Linked DNA regions of Nothobranchius furzeri. The protein of the gene in region 1 binds, or shares a complex with, the protein of each later gene. Links are inferred from orthologs where the notes say so. Each region holds a gene or a part of one and is shown on either strand. Other genes may lie near its edges.

What was found. Proteins that work in one complex are often made in the same cells at the same time.
Region 2: wash1 (region 1) and washc3 share a complex: the UniProt entries of both Homo sapiens proteins name them as parts of the WASH core complex. The link is inferred for Nothobranchius furzeri from reciprocal best matches to the Homo sapiens genes WASHC1 and WASHC3.
Region 3: wash1 (region 1) and washc4 share a complex: the UniProt entries of both Homo sapiens proteins name them as parts of the WASH core complex. The link is inferred for Nothobranchius furzeri from reciprocal best matches to the Homo sapiens genes WASHC1 and WASHC4.

The regions. Positions count from the first base shown.
Region 1 is NC_091744.1:70,584,507-70,589,422, reverse strand, and holds the start of wash1 (WASH complex subunit 1), read right to left. Parts: upstream 3,022-4,916; 5' UTR 2,858-3,021; coding exon 2,850-2,857; intron 2,153-2,849; coding exon 2,012-2,152; intron 1,713-2,011; coding exon 1,601-1,712; intron 1,530-1,600; coding exon 1,383-1,529; intron 1-1,382. UniProt on the Homo sapiens protein: Acts as a component of the WASH core complex that functions as a nucleation-promoting factor (NPF) at the surface of endosomes, where it recruits and activates the Arp2/3 complex to induce actin polymerization, playing a key role in the fission of tubules that serve as transport intermediates during endosome sorting.
Region 2 is NC_091741.1:43,371,959-43,377,208, forward strand, and holds the start of washc3 (WASH complex subunit 3), read right to left. Parts: upstream 3,181-5,250; 5' UTR 3,046-3,180; coding exon 2,995-3,045; intron 1,499-2,994; coding exon 1,400-1,498; intron 1,298-1,399; coding exon 1,232-1,297; intron 1,160-1,231; coding exon 1,022-1,159; intron 1-1,021. Other genes in the region: uncharacterized protein, read left to right, coding at 3,523-3,556, 4,277-4,479, 4,562-4,663, 4,750-4,845, 4,918-5,028, 5,102-5,219. UniProt on the Homo sapiens protein: Acts as a component of the WASH core complex that functions as a nucleation-promoting factor (NPF) at the surface of endosomes, where it recruits and activates the Arp2/3 complex to induce actin polymerization, playing a key role in the fission of tubules that serve as transport intermediates during endosome sorting.
Region 3 is NC_091744.1:77,763,540-77,768,719, reverse strand, and holds the start of washc4 (WASH complex subunit 4), read left to right. Parts: upstream 1-2,000; 5' UTR 2,001-2,089; coding exon 2,090-2,150; intron 2,151-3,015; coding exon 3,016-3,155; intron 3,156-3,231; coding exon 3,232-3,285; intron 3,286-3,366; coding exon 3,367-3,432; intron 3,433-3,518; coding exon 3,519-3,564; intron 3,565-3,658; coding exon 3,659-3,726; intron 3,727-3,812; coding exon 3,813-3,895; intron 3,896-5,180. UniProt on the Homo sapiens protein: Acts as a component of the WASH core complex that functions as a nucleation-promoting factor (NPF) at the surface of endosomes, where it recruits and activates the Arp2/3 complex to induce actin polymerization, playing a key role in the fission of tubules that serve as transport intermediates during endosome sorting.

The DNA.
Region 1 (4,916 bases):
GAGGACACTTCGAATTCTGGAGGTTCTTGAATAATACATTTCTGCACCAAAGCAAACTGTCTTGTGTTTTCTTTCAGTCTGACAAATACACACATATGCTAACAAAAACTACACAGCAGCAAACATGCTCGCTTTTCTTGCCGAGATGGTGCAATAAAAAATAAACTGCGGGCTTAGCTTTAAATAATGCAAAAGCTTGAGCTGGGGCATGTACACACACACACACACACATTCACATGTTTACAGCCAATTTCCCTGCTAAGTGACACACAGCTGCTGATATCCTTCCTGCATGTTCAATGGGTGACAAATTCACTGCTTGGCACGATGCTTGAACAAATTTGCAAATCTAACCCTAACCCAATCACTGGATCCGATTTGAATGAAGAAAGGACTCATGAGCTCCGACTTTTAACACAGTACACCGACTGTGCAAGTTGTCCCACTTAAAAAGACGAGATGAGTCTAATTTTCATCATAGCTACTCAAACTGTGAGAAACAGAAGCTAAAAAAACTCCAGGAAATCACAATGTCTGATTTTTAAAGAATTTCAGTATCAATATGAATTTCTTTTTTCTATCTAATTTTATGGGACCCCCACCTTCGTAAAAATCTACTTTGGCCATTTTACAGTTTCTCCTCGTTCTCCGGAACAACAGTTTAAAATAACTCTAAACAGTTTAAGCTAGTCCATCAAAAGTGGGTTTAAGTGACTGTGTGAGTAATAAACTTCACCATCTTCACCCTGAACACCACTCTGCAGCCCACTGCTGACCAGAAACAGCACTTAACAGTTTGGTGGAGTAGGTAGGTGCCCTATAAGGGGAGCTCTTTACCTGCTTCACAGCTGTCAGCTGTTATGCTAGCAGTTAGCATTTTCAGTTTGCAGATTGTCAATAAAAAAACACAAGAAAAAGTAAAAAAAGACGTTTACTTTTTTGTGTAGAACATTGGCACGACCTACAATAGAGAGAGCTAAAGGAGGTTACATAATTGCAAACTGATGGTGACCTAGCTTTGTTACTTGACTTGTAATAATACTTTTTGTTCAACAAATAGGATCTTTTTACTTGGTGGTTTATTTTAGTATTAGCTTGCTCTTGTTAATGCTAGCTCGTTGTTAGCGCTAGCTACAATTGGCTGCAGCAGGGTTGTTTACAAAAGTTGTAATCCCACTTGCAACCAGTAGGGCAGGGGGTCAGGAAGCTGGTCAGTGTTACTTTAATAAGAAAAAAAAAAAAGGAAAATCAAATGTCAACATAAACTCAATGGCCACTTCATTAATTACACATTTTAATACAAATATCTAATTGGCCATAAACATCAATTCACATGTTAGCAACTCAAACCATTTACATATCTAGAGAACACTTTATCCCACCTGCCATGCCTTCTCATCAAACGGACGAAGTTTATTCTGTATCTTGTGATGGGGACGGTTTTGTGAGGAAGGGTCCACTGCCCCAGAGAAGATAGATGAGTAGTCCTGAAGATGGTCTGGGGCTGGGTACTTGGCACTGGAGAAAACCTAAACAAATGCGTCAAATTAGGATTGTTTCATCTTGGATTTTAAAATTTTTAAACGGTAATTGCTGTTACCTTGGTGGCCTTCTTGCTGCCTTTAATCTTGTCAACACGGGCCTGAGCTAGTCTGATACGGTCAGAAACGCTCTGCAGCTGGCGTCGGTTTTTCTCTACGCTTTCGGAAACCCTGAAGGCACCACCAACAGGAATAGAACACAAACAAAACTATAAATAAAAGCTGAATACGTCTCAAACTGTGTATTTAACTCGTTCATAAAGATTGCATTGATTATGTTTTACCAACTACATTTTTTTTTACATAGGAACAAAAATCACTCCCACTGGAAGCGGAATTTTCAACCTGAAGCAAGACTTTATAAAGACAAACCCAAATATTTTCTTCCAATTACTCTCTTTTGGAGCTCTGTAGCTTTATAGATATGTTTTCAGAAAAATCTGAACGTATGTGTGCGCACACATGCTTGCCTTCTGAAAATGTCAGTGGAGATCAACTCAAGATACAGCAATGCGTCTGCTATCTGATGAACAGCCTCCTCTCGCCTCAGATCTGGTTGAATGAGGGGCACCGAGTACACCTGGCCCTCCAGGCAGTGCCTCTGTGTCATCCTACAAAGCAGCGGTGCAACAGCAAGGTTAGTAATCGATTAGACATCCAGCTGCGTGCAAAACACATGGAACTACCTCTTATGGGAGAAACATATGAGGTGAAAAGCACTAATCAACTCGTCTTGCAGTGAATCAAACATCACAGACACAGTAAATCTGTGCCAGAGTTTCATGATTTGTCAAAATAACTTACAAAACCCCAAATAAATAGCAGAAATTGTTGGTTTATGCTTTCAGATCGAGCAGACGAAAATAATACTGAATCACTCAATTAAAAGCAGTAATTTTGGAGATTTTAAACACGCTTTTGGGAAAGCCAGGAGATAAAAAGTCATTTAAAAATGGAAATGGTTAGAAAACTTAATTAAGCCATTTTGACACAAAGAGAAGCACAATACCAAGTTTGTGTAAGAAAGTCATCACGGGAACTGGAACAGTTCATCTAGCAACAACCCATCATCTGACTCACATGACGAAGACTCACAAAGAACTAATACTTTTACTTTTTTCTTATTTCCCGGGCTTAATCATCTCAAGTTAGCAAAATGGACCACAGCTAATACATATGTGAGCCAGCTGCTGCTTGGAAATATACTCCAAAAAACAAACAAACAAAAAACAACTAATGAAACAGTGAGATATTGGTTACCGAAGGTGTCACCCGATAACGACGTTGCACTGACAATAATATCCTTACCTCACCATTGGATTTTGATTTCTTCCTAAAGACACTTTGAGAAAAACCTCGAAGAAAATATAGAGTTTAAAGGAGTTTAGTTGTCTGTTATAGCTTACAGATCGACTACAAGATAGCCTAGCAAAACATCGGTTTCATACTTCCGCATCACTGTATCATGTGACCATGTAGAAAACGATGGTGTTGCCTTCATGGTAGCTCGGATAGTTTAAAATTCAAACCTAATGTGCTTATTATTAACCCTCTAAGGCTCAAAATAAGTTTTGATAAAAGGATGAACAACTACGTCCTTTAGGGGTACTTCTGAGTTAAAAAATGTTCATGAAATACATATGTGGAGTAACCAGGTAGGTAGGTTTTAACTGTTGCAAATCTGCACCGCCTGCCTCCAGAGAATCACAGTCGATTATTGTAGTACGGTGGTTTCTGTGGTGTGGCAGAGGTCATAATACCTAGAAGACTGGACTTGTGAATGTAAATGCATCGTAAATCCCAACTGCGCTGCTCTGGGTGGCTGTATGTTGGAGTAGCTCTGTTGACTATATGTAAGTTTTGCCTTTTCTTGGGCATTTTTTTTCTAGTTTCTCAAGAAAAACTGTATTTTTGGACACTTTACTCTTCTGTTTCTGGTGCTGTGAAGCTTGGAGGATTTTTACTGCTTTTTTTTAGCTTTTTCACTTTTTGAGCATTTGTTATGATGCGTAACCATGGCAACAAGCTGTTTACAATGGGGAGCAGCTGATTAACATTGGAAAGGCTGAAATAATACCTCAACTGAAGCCACAAATCCCAAATGAGCTAAAACGCAAGAAGCGTTGATGCAGAACGGGAGCAAAATGGAGACAGAGAAAGAGGAAATTCAAACCATCTCTTCCATCGATCATAATGGGCAATGTGAGATCACTGGCCGACAAGATAGAGGAACTCCAAGCCCTTTCAAGGACTCAGCCAGAGTTTCTGCAGTTTCGAACCGCTGGAGGAGATAATGCAAAGATGGATTCTCCAGAGAATCAAGAAAATTATGGACAACCCTGAGCATTCTCTTCACAAGACTGTCAGACAACAGAAGAGTGCCTTCAGTCAGAGGCTTCTTCAGTTTCGCTGCAACACTGACCGCTACTGGAGATCCTTCCTGCCAACAGCCATTGTAATATACAATAACTCTTTGATGACTTGATTATTATTATTATTATTCTGAGATACTACAGCAATCAATTTCCCTCTGGGATTAATAAAGTATTTTTGAATTGAATTGAATTTAAATGAAATGTTGAAATAAAAGACAAAAGTGGTTAATAGTAAATAGAGAAAAATGTAGTTAACTAAGCTCTAGTTTTGACGCAGAATAAATATTTAATAAAGTGTGCCTGATTCAGAAGAAAGTGGATGCAATGTGTTTGATTTTGAAACAATTTCGAAATCGGAAGTGACGTACTGTTGACTTAATGTTGAGTAGGAAAGAAAAATATGGTTCATGGCTTAAAGACAATTCACGAGTGTTTTATAAAATAAAGAAAAACGCTGTTGTTTGCAACCTGTTTTCCTCGAGGACCTGTCCACTATTTCGCCTGTAGAAAGTGAGACAGAGAATGGAAGTTGTCCCAGTTGCCGGTCGTTGGTTCCATCCCTATAGGTCCAAGACAAGTCAGGACCCCCCTAACTCCAACCCTTATCCGCATATACTCATTAAAGTTGATTAATTCTAAACTTTATAGTAACACCAGAATTTTGATTATACTATAGGGTGTGTTACTGAGACTTTATCAATTTAGTATTTACAAATATAATCTTGGTAAACTCACGACCTCAGCACTGACAAACTTGTGGGGACTCCTTGCTATCTTGTATGGACCCCTCGGAGGGGTTACAAACCCTAATTTGAGAACCACTGGATAAGCACATAAAACTAGATATTTGAGTCATTTTTGCCTTTACTGATATTATGCTTTTGATTTTTGAAACATTTGATACCCAAACAATTTTTGCATTACTTTCAAATAAAATGTATATCTCTGTTTATTATCGATCCAAATGAACCGTCAATGTTTATGTATATCAAATTTAGCA
Region 2 (5,250 bases), on another chromosome or scaffold:
TATTGAGATATGCGATTGTTTGTTTTGCACTATCCTACATGGTACTACTGTAGATCATTTTTTTAATGTATATATTGTATATCATATTTCTATTTCACCCGTTCCTTTGTCTCTCCGACTGCTTTGAGCATGTACATGACACAAGAATTTCCCTCGGGATAAATAAAGTTGTTCTTATCTTATCTTATCTTCTATGATCAGGTGTCTCACAGCTAAAAATACTTCCAAAATGGACGTGGACAGTGGATCGCTGAATAACGTGCAGCGTCATTGTGCAAACATGACATACATCTCATCACAAATGGCGCAAGCCTGTCTTGTTTGCACAGTAACGATGGGAATTAATCAGCGAGACCCAATCTATACTTCAGTTTAAGTCTGACCACTTTGGTGTAAAGAGGAGTTCATGTTTGACTCAGTCACTGCAGAAATAAGCCCAAATCATCAGCCCCCTGCCACCGTGCTTTACAGAGGACAGGAGGTGTTTGAGCTGACCTGGTGCACTGTTTTAACCAAAAGTGATGGCTTGTTTACTGACCTCGGCCTGAACTCTGTGCTGCAGACTCAGGAAATCTGCCCTGAAGGTTTTCCACCTTTCTCACTGTAAATATGTAACGTCACACTTCTGGATAGGATTTTACAATCCTGTCAGAGTGTGAGGAGGACAATCAAAATCCAATCCGATCACTATGCAAACAAAGCAGCCAGTAACAAACATACTTCTTTGAAGGTTCTCAAAACTAAAAGTCTATCCTTTACAACAGGAGGGGAATGTTGAGCCTTTTTTGTACGTAAACTCCAAAAGAAAACAAAACAACAGTTGCGTTGACGGCAGGTTTCTACTTGTTGCATCGACCAAAGAGCTGATGACAATCTACATTCCGACTTAAAAAGAAAAGTTCAACTGCCGATTTTTGGCATCACAGACTCCCAAACAAGAAAAAAGACACAAAGACTGTTTTGGCATTCATCGTGGCCGATTGAACCTGCATGTCTGTTGCAGGTGGGTCTGAACTCCTACCTCTGAGGAAGAAGGTGGTCCTGCTGCTACACCGTTAGTTAGGTTCTGACCGATAGTACTGGGTCCTTTAGTGTGGGAGGCCTGCTGTTGGTTGAGGCCCTCTACTGTGACGTCCTCCAGTCCAGGAATAGAGGACAGCTGCTCAGAACAATGTCACTGCATAAGTGAAAAGACAACATCCAGAAACGGTATCAAGGTCTCACAAGTTACCTTAGCCTCTAAAATGCTGAGTGTGGTTTCAATCTGCTGTATGCGAAGAGAAATGTTTGCAAGTTTCTGTGAAGAGAAGTAAAAAAAATAAATAAATACATAATTTGAGTTCATATTCTGAGGCAGAAGAAGCATTAAGGAGTAAAAAACAAACAAACAAACACAAACCTCTTCACACACGGTGGAAAACTGGTTAAGAAATCGTACGGTGTGCACAACAAACTGGTTGAGAAATCCAACGATTCGTCTCTGCTGTATTGCAGGAACCTGAGAAAAGATAAAAGCAGTATAATTAAAAACTTACCAAGTGTTACTATAGTTTATTTTACTAAACATAAACCTCTAGTATAATTGATTTTTGAATGTTATGGCTTTAAATAATATTGAGGGGATTCTAAAATGACTTTTAACTACTGCTGTTAAAATGTTTTTTGTAAATCTTTATTGAAACAAAGCAGTACAAAACAACAATTAACACCAGGGAGAATAAACAACATCTACATAAACAGACCAGGGTCATGTGTTAGCAGTGTTATTTAAACAACACAATAACATACAGTAACCTGTGGATTATTGCAAAGTTTCAAGTATTTGAGAGAATTTTAAAAGCAGCTGAGTTCTACCTTTAAAGTCTTGCATCAAACAAAATGCTAATGGCAAAAAGAATGATGAAAACTATCAAATCTGATTTTCTGTGTTGGGTAGTTACTAATTATATTTACTTGAGTATTTTTAGGAAAAAGAAATGCAACATTTTAATTAAGTCTTTACATTATATAATTTATCATATAACATTATACTATTATCTGTTTGAATGGATTTTATAAATTAAAGGAGCTGTTATGATTACTCATTATTTGAGCAGCTTTTTTGCAAACACAGTTTTTGTACTTTTTTTTAACTACTCAAGTAAACATATATGAAAGTAATGCTACTCTTATTTGAGTATAATCTCTGGCTACTCTACCCACATGTCTGACTTTGCATATAATGGATGCAAATCGGTGTGGAGGAAAAACATTTGGAATAACAGACTACTGTATATCAGGTGTTGTGCCGAAAAGAGCACGCCTACCGAAATGTGTATCCCCGTCGAAAGACGCAAATTGAAGAAGAATTTGAATTATGAGCAATTCAGAATTTGAACACGTTTCTAATCCGTGTTTCTCCTGAAAAGATTTTGTTTTTGACTACAAATATGATGAAATAATGATTAAATAATTGACCTTTTTCAACACGTTTGACACTAATGTTTTAGCAAGTATTAAACAATTTTGTTGGTTTAAAAAAGCAGACTCAAAATGACTAACCTTTTATATGTGCATTATATTACTTAAAATAAAACATGTTATAAACAGTAGTTTATTTTACTTATTTGCTCATAAACCATCATTTTGTAAGGAAGGATGCAGCTCATGTTGTACACATTTATTAAAAAGCGGTCTCATACGCGCCTTCCCGCAGGGGATGCACATTTTCGCAGACAAGCTCTTTTCGGCACAACACCGGTAATAGAATCTAATGAATGATGTATTCAAATAGAACATCAGTGTTCGGAGAGAAAACGTTCTTTCCTCTTTTGATACTTCTTTAGAACAAACCAAAAGGAAAATGACTAGGCAAACAGTTACAAGTAGGTGAAATTAGTTAGAAAAAGGCCACAGTTTTCTCTGCATTAGTGATTATATATTTTGTTAAAAAGCACAAACATAGCTTTGGGTTCTCAGGTTTTCAGTGTTAGCTAACCAGTTAGAAACACAAACCTTCGTAAGATCGACTCCTGACCCGACTAACGGCAGGCCGTCCTCGTCCATGTTAGCGTTTTACACTTCCTGTGAATAGGAATGTGGTTTCAGGTCTAATGGCACGAAATTTGAAAGAAAAAATGACATGAAACAAAACATTTACACCGTTGAAGGCTTCACGTGACACTGAGCAGTGTGACTGGCTACGTGATTACGTCACTCTAGGAAAAGGAAATGATTAACTTTTATTTTGAAGAGGCATCAATGCACTCGAATTCACACTTTTATATTTCGAGCTGTCGAAATTTTCTAAACTTTTTCTTTATCTAGTCATTGGCTTTGAAGTAAAAAAGAACTTGAAAATAATAGCATTCTGAAATTCATTAGAAAACACCAAAACACGTCTTTCAGACATATATTTTGAAAAGCGGAAACTTGAGTGAATACTTGAGGAAGCGATGCTTGCGCTCTAATAGCGCATTAGCCACCAAAACAAACAGCACAAATATACACAGATTCCTCAAATTCACTTGGTGGGATGCTTTAATGGAAGTTGTGGAATCAAAAGAAAAAATGGAGGGTATGTATGTTACCAGTTTGCCTTTCTGATATTTTCTGGAGACGTGTTTGTTTTACTATCAGTGGGCTCTGTCTATTTAAAGGAACCACAATGTTCATTATTTGGCAGACTGTTGTTGTTGCGCAGTGGAAGTTAGCTTGCTGTTAAATGTACAGACACTCTTACGCGATATATTGTTTTAACTAAGTTGCGAAGCTTTTGAGTAACATCTGTGGACATTTTCCAGATTGTGTATCTAAAATGTTAAAGATCTGTCCAGGATTTTCTCCAGTTCAAAAGCCTGTAGCTCAAATTCAATTCAAGTTTATTTATACAGCGCCAAATCACGACAAGAGTCGTCTCGAGGCACTTCACATAGTTAACATTCCAATACAGGTCAGTTCATTAAGCCAATCAGGAAAAAAAGTTTCCTATATAAGGAACCCAGCAAACTGCATCCAGTCACTGACTGGTCTCAGTGACTTTAGCAAGCAAGCAAGCAAATGACAGACAACAATGTAACAGATCACGTGATTGTTTTATTGCTTGATTGTTTTTAATTATCTGTATGAAGCCAATAACTGTTTCAGTTATGTGTAAAATGTGAGAACTTTGCAAAATCACATCGTGAAAATTTTATCCACCTGCTGTTTCCTGCAAGTACTCTGAATGCTCTCTGAATTAGGGGGTGTGTTACTGCCCTCCATCGGTCATTTCTGACTTTACACATTAATGTTTCAGACCCAAACTTCCCTTTGCCCTCCTTTCGCCTCCTGGTGCCTCCCTTGCATCTTCTGTCTGCTGCTATGTGGAATCTGATGAAGGGGAAAGATGTGATGAACTATGGGAAGCTGCAGGAGTTTGTGTCCATGCTGACAGAAGCAGTTCCTGGTTTGATCAACCACAGACAGAGAGCGCATCTCCTTCTCGGATTGAAGGCCAGGGTGAATGGTGTTTTGTTTCACATGCAAACGTTCTTGTTTTGGTGTCTCAGTCGTGCATTAACATATTTTGATGATATTTCAGTTGATTTTGGAGTTGTGCAAGGGTTCTGCTCGACACGATGTTGATTCTGATGTGATCCAGACCTACTTGGAGGGATTCCCAGTTACCTCTGCAACCACAGACGTATGTAAACTAATGATACTTGATGCAAATGTCAATGTTTTCTTGAAGAGCGCTCTCTGAGTGATATGATATGATTTTTTTTGCAGACTGTGGACACAGAGGTGAGAACAACCGAGTGCACTTTTATTGCACTTGTTCAGAGCTTGCTCAAAGATCCGGCTGAAAGAGCATATTTTTTTCAGGTGAGGCAACTTTTTAAAACAAACTTATCTGACTGAACTTCAGAGTTTAAAAGACCATTTTCGGTGCTACAGGAGGTGTTTCCTGTTGAATACGGGCCACAATATGATTCAGCACTGCAAGTGTTATTGTGGGAGTTGCTGTCAAAGCTGGAAATGCTGCTCCCAGTACCGGACCTTAAACAGGTTTGTTATATTCAGGATATTTTACATGTTTGAAACTTTTAGGAACTTTAGCTGAGTTTGGTTTTGATTGCAGACTACTGCCTGGCTTTCTTCTGCTCCTTCTGTTTTGGAGGAATGTGTTCAGCCATCTCCCGAGGAGCTGAGCTCTGTGTTTAAGCACTACAACAGCTTAGGACTGCTGAAAATGATGCGTAAGTTAACCTGAAACGATAAAGTTTTTTT
Region 3 (5,180 bases), about 7.2 Mb from region 1:
TGGTGGTGGGTCAGTGATTGTCTGGGGAGGCATAATTTTATCAATCCAGGATTACCTTAGGGAAAGTTCAAAGCACAGGGGGTTATAGTAATCAATTCATCAATACCAATACGGATCAACAATCAATTTAGACTTTGCAAAGTGGAGAGGAAAAATGCACACCAGTCAACGGTTGCCAGTTCACTCTCATCAGGCTGACGCCTTCCGACAGTATTTATTAAGCATACACACAAAAGATTGACGCACACACATTTTGAGACTCTCAGGCAGGAAGCTGTAAAAGAAAGTCTCAACTCTAACACTCCAGCTGCAATCTAAATCAACAAAGCAGTCTGGACTTTCTCAAGGGAGTTTTACTGACAAGAGGTCGGTACCAAGGCAAGGTCATCCTCCCAAAACCTCCTCCTTGTAAGACCTGCAGGGGCCTGTTCTCCATCACAGAGTAAAATAAACGGATGAAGCTACATTTAATAAACACCAGATGTTAAACAGTCAAGACATTAATAAAGTTAATATCAGTTTTTACCCATCACATATCCATGGAGGGACGCACAGACCTCTGCTGCCTAGGAAATGGTGCTCTGACTGCCATAAGGTATCGAGATGAAATCCTTGAACCCTTTGTCAGACCCTACGCTGATGCAGTAGGTCCTGGTTTTCTCCTAATGCACGACAATGCCCGGCCTCATGTGGTAAGAGTATGCAGGCAGTACCCGGAGGATGAAGGAATTGAAACAATTGAATGGCCTTCATGATCCCCTGACTTAAACCCAATAGAACAACTGTGGGACATTATGTTTCGGTCCATTAGGCGGTGCCAGGTTGCTCCTCAGACTGTACAAGAGCTCAGGGATGCCCTCACACAGATCTGGGAGGAAATGCCACAAGACACCATCCGTTGTCTCATTAGGAGCATGCCCCGACGTAGTCAAGCATGCACACAAGCTCGTGAGGGCCACACAAGATACTGAAAAGCAATTTGAGTTGCAGAAATTAAGTTTTTGAAATAATGGACTAGCCTGCCACATCTTCATTTCAGTCCAATTTTAGGGTGTCTTCACAATTGAGCCCTCTGTAGGCTGATAACTTTTATTTCCATTAAATGACTTGGCATCCTTTTGTTCCTAAGACATTGCCCTGTCGTTATTTGTATAGACATCCAACTTCATAATGAGATCTGATGTATCTAGTGTGTTTCTTTAAAGTGTTCCTTTAAATTTTGTGAGCAGTATATATATATATATATATATATATATATATATATATATATATATATATATATATATATATATATATATATATAATATTTCTTTTTTTGTTTGTTTAAATTCTTGTAATATGGGTTAAAATTTGCTCTGCCAAACAATTGAACTGCATCTTTTTTGAATTGTTTGCATTTTTGTGAGTCCTAGGTTGTATGTGTATGTGTGAGCATGAGGGTGTGTGACTGTGTTTGTGTAGAGACTTCACTTTTCATTCAATATTTTTATTTTAATCATTCTACATGGATGCAAAATATTTTATATGCCACTTGAAAGGTCTTCAGCTTTGAGCACATTGTTTTTGACCTGACATTTGAGGTAAGGAAAACTGTTTCTGTGACCCTCAATTCCCCATTTTCTTTTTAACAATTATTTGTTGAGAATCACTGCTTAAATTATATATTTTTGATCCTTTTCCTCTAAAAAGTTTCTTATTATTTTATTGTAAATTATATATATATATATATATATATATATATATATATATATATATATATATATATATATATATATATATATATATATATATATATATATATATATATATATGTATATATATGCGGTACGTGTGTGTGTGTGTGTGTGTGTGTGTGTGTGTGTGTGTGTGTGTGTTTATGTAACATATTTGTTACATAATAGTGCTTAATATATATATATATATAACTAAAAATAAAGCACTATTTACTTTCTCAGTATGTTCCTAGTTGGTTATTGACGCCGCACCGGAAGACTACATTTCCCATGAGCTCTAGCGGTGAAAATCACAAGACCCATCATGAGAGTGTAGTCTTACTTTCTAGCGTCTCTTTGGGATTTATTCTGGTGATATGGCTGTGGACACTATCGCACCCGACTGGGAGGTTGACCGTTTTGACGACGGTTCCCAAAGTAAGTGCTCCCTGCAGTCCTGGCATTCACAGAAATACAGCAACGGAGAAAAGTTAGCTGCAGTTTGCACATAGTGTCAGCCGACGTTGTTAGCAAAATGCTTTGCTGCTTTATTTCTTGTACTTTCCAGAAGAAAATACAATGTTTTTCATTCCAAACTATTTTGTAGACATTTTTCTTGGAAAAATTTAGTGTTTGGTGTAAATAAACATGCTGGAAATAAGTGAAAACAAGACGTAGTTAGTGGACGTCAAAGCTAGCTAGGATAGCTAAGGTTTAGCTTGCATCTTTGACAGCTGGTTCCTTTTGTAACAGCAACACTAATAATAATATTAATAATAATAATATAACTCTTACTATCATCAAAAGGGCTTATTTGTTCCTGTAATGTCTAATGTGTCTCATTAATAATAATTCCCTTCTCAACAAATGTATCTTGTTTACTTAATTGTAACACTGCTGTAAAACAGTTGTACTTCTAATGTGTTCATTTCTGCCTTCAACGTGCAAATATTTAATCAAAAAATATTACAAGACCTTCAAAAGCCTGTCTGTCTTAAAAAACTAAAAGTAAATCATTAACATCACGTTATTATGCAACTTCTAATAGTCACGTATTGCCATATGTTTGCTTAATTACCAAAACATTAATAATTCTGTAGCTGTATTTGGTTCATTTTGAGGCAACTGAATAAAGCAATGTTCTATACAAAGAGGTATAGGTGACATAGTTTAGTAAAAAAAAATATTTTCTAAAATTTGAGAGCAGAACTAATTAAATTCAAAATGTGTGTTCTCAAATGTAATAACTTTCATTTGAAAACTATTTTTCTCAGTCATTTATGTTTTGTAATCCACCTGTCAGAAATACACACAGAGGTTCAGATGAAGAACTACAGCAGGTTTCTGGAGGAGTACACGTCCCAGCTGAAGGGCATCGAAGAAGCTCTTGATGACTCCATAGGAGACGTGTGGGACTTCACTTTGGACCCCATCGCGTTGAAAGTAAAGCAGCAAAAACAACAGAAAATTAGCCTGAAAAGACTTCTGTTACTGTATCTTACCATCTGCTCTGTTTCAGCTTCTGCCTCATGAGCAGTCATCTTTACTGGAGTTAATTAAAACAGACAACAAGGTAAGCAGACACAAATTTGCCATGTTTTTGAACTCAGAGCAACTTTTTTTTTCTTCATTTGGAAATCCCTGTTTTGTTCAGGTTCTGAACAAAGTTATCACAGTCTATGCAGCTCTCTGTAGTGAAGTGAAACAACTCAAATATGAGGTGAGAATGGTCAAATGGTGAGCTCAGATCAGTTTATGACGTCTGTTTCTGTTAGATTTTCATTCAAATCATTTCCTTTTTTTCAGGCAGAAACCAAGTTCTACAACGGCCTATTGTACTATGGAGAAGGAGGTAGAATATCTGCAATTATTTGTGACCTAAGTGATACACAGCACTTCTGTTTTAATAATGAAAATGAGCAGTTTGGTCTGTTTTTATGTTGCAGTGTGTGAAACCAGTGTTGTTGAAGGGGGGTCGCAGATTCAAATGGGCAGATTCATTTCATTCCTTCAGGTGGGTGGTTAGCAATACCCTCCATAGGAGTTTTATTCATTATCAGTGCTGTTGTTTCAGTCATTATTTTTGTCTTCCTCACGTAGGAGTTGTCCTGCTTTGTTTCAAGATGTTATGAGGTGGTGGTCAACATTGTTCACCAGCTAGCTGCCCTCTACAACAGCAGCAAGTAAGAGCCATGAGCTGAGAAACCCATGTGGTTATCATTAGGGATGGGTACCTTTGACATTTGAATCGATTCTGTACTAATACCTAGGAATCGATACCGGTACTTAACGGTACTAATTTTAGTTACTTTTGAGTGTTTAATATTTTAATTCTCTTTTATAATTAAATATATATTTTTCTCGATATATAACCATATTTGATAAATATCACAATAAATAACATGCAACTGTTTGTATTTTAACATCATCCTTGTAGTTTTATAAGCTGATAATTGAACTGAAGCAAACATCTTTACTGTGAACTAAATTTACTGTGTATCTTCATTCCTTTTGCCATCCGTTTTCTTTTGATTTTTCCTACTGGGAAGTTAGAATTTCCGAGGAGAAAGCGAACGCACCATTAGCTGATAACAATGGTGGCAATGGAAGCTAACATATCAAGCTAACATTATCTTAAACGGTTTATTTAGCTGCTGGAGCAGATTTAAACGATGATGCCTCACACTTAAATCGTTGTCACTGGTTTCGTCTTCACCCAATCACCCGTCGCATTTAGTAAAGTGAAGCCAAACTTTAGAGCGCGTTCATGTTCTTCTATAGTCGGAAATTTGGAGTTCCGAGGAGAAAGCGAACACACCAGTAACGGAACGGAAGCTAACAAATCAAGCTAACATTATCTTAAACATTTTATTTACCTACCGGAGCAGATTAAGATGAGGATGTCTCACTTAGATCGTTGTCGCTGGTTTCATCATCATCCAGTTACCCATCACATTTAGTGAAGTGGACCCAAGCTTTAGCGTGCGTTCTTTCTACCATGCTGCTCTGTTTACAACTGGCTCGCAGTGACCAACGACATAACGCTCTTGCGCATGCGCAGCTGTCTAGGCAAGTTCTCGTTATGAAGGACGGGTACCGAAACGAGGCACCGTTTCAAATGACGTGAATCGGTGCTCAGTCGGTACTATGGAATTCGGTCGGTACCTTAAAAAGTACTTAATTCGGTACCCATCGCTAGTTATCATGAAGGTTTTATTTGATTGACTTAAATCCAAACATTTCCAGTGGAAACATGGAATACTCTGCTTCCATAAAAAACAACTTAGAGACTGATCAGCAATCTCTAAATAATGTCACAATTTCTGTAAGGGTTGTTGGGGAGGTGAAACATCGAGAAATAAACCGGTGCACCATTTCTAGGACTTAAAAGTTACCCACATCACAGCTGAGCTTCAGACAGCAGATTTGGAGTCTTACTTCCTGATGTTTGAACGTCTTGCCTTGGAT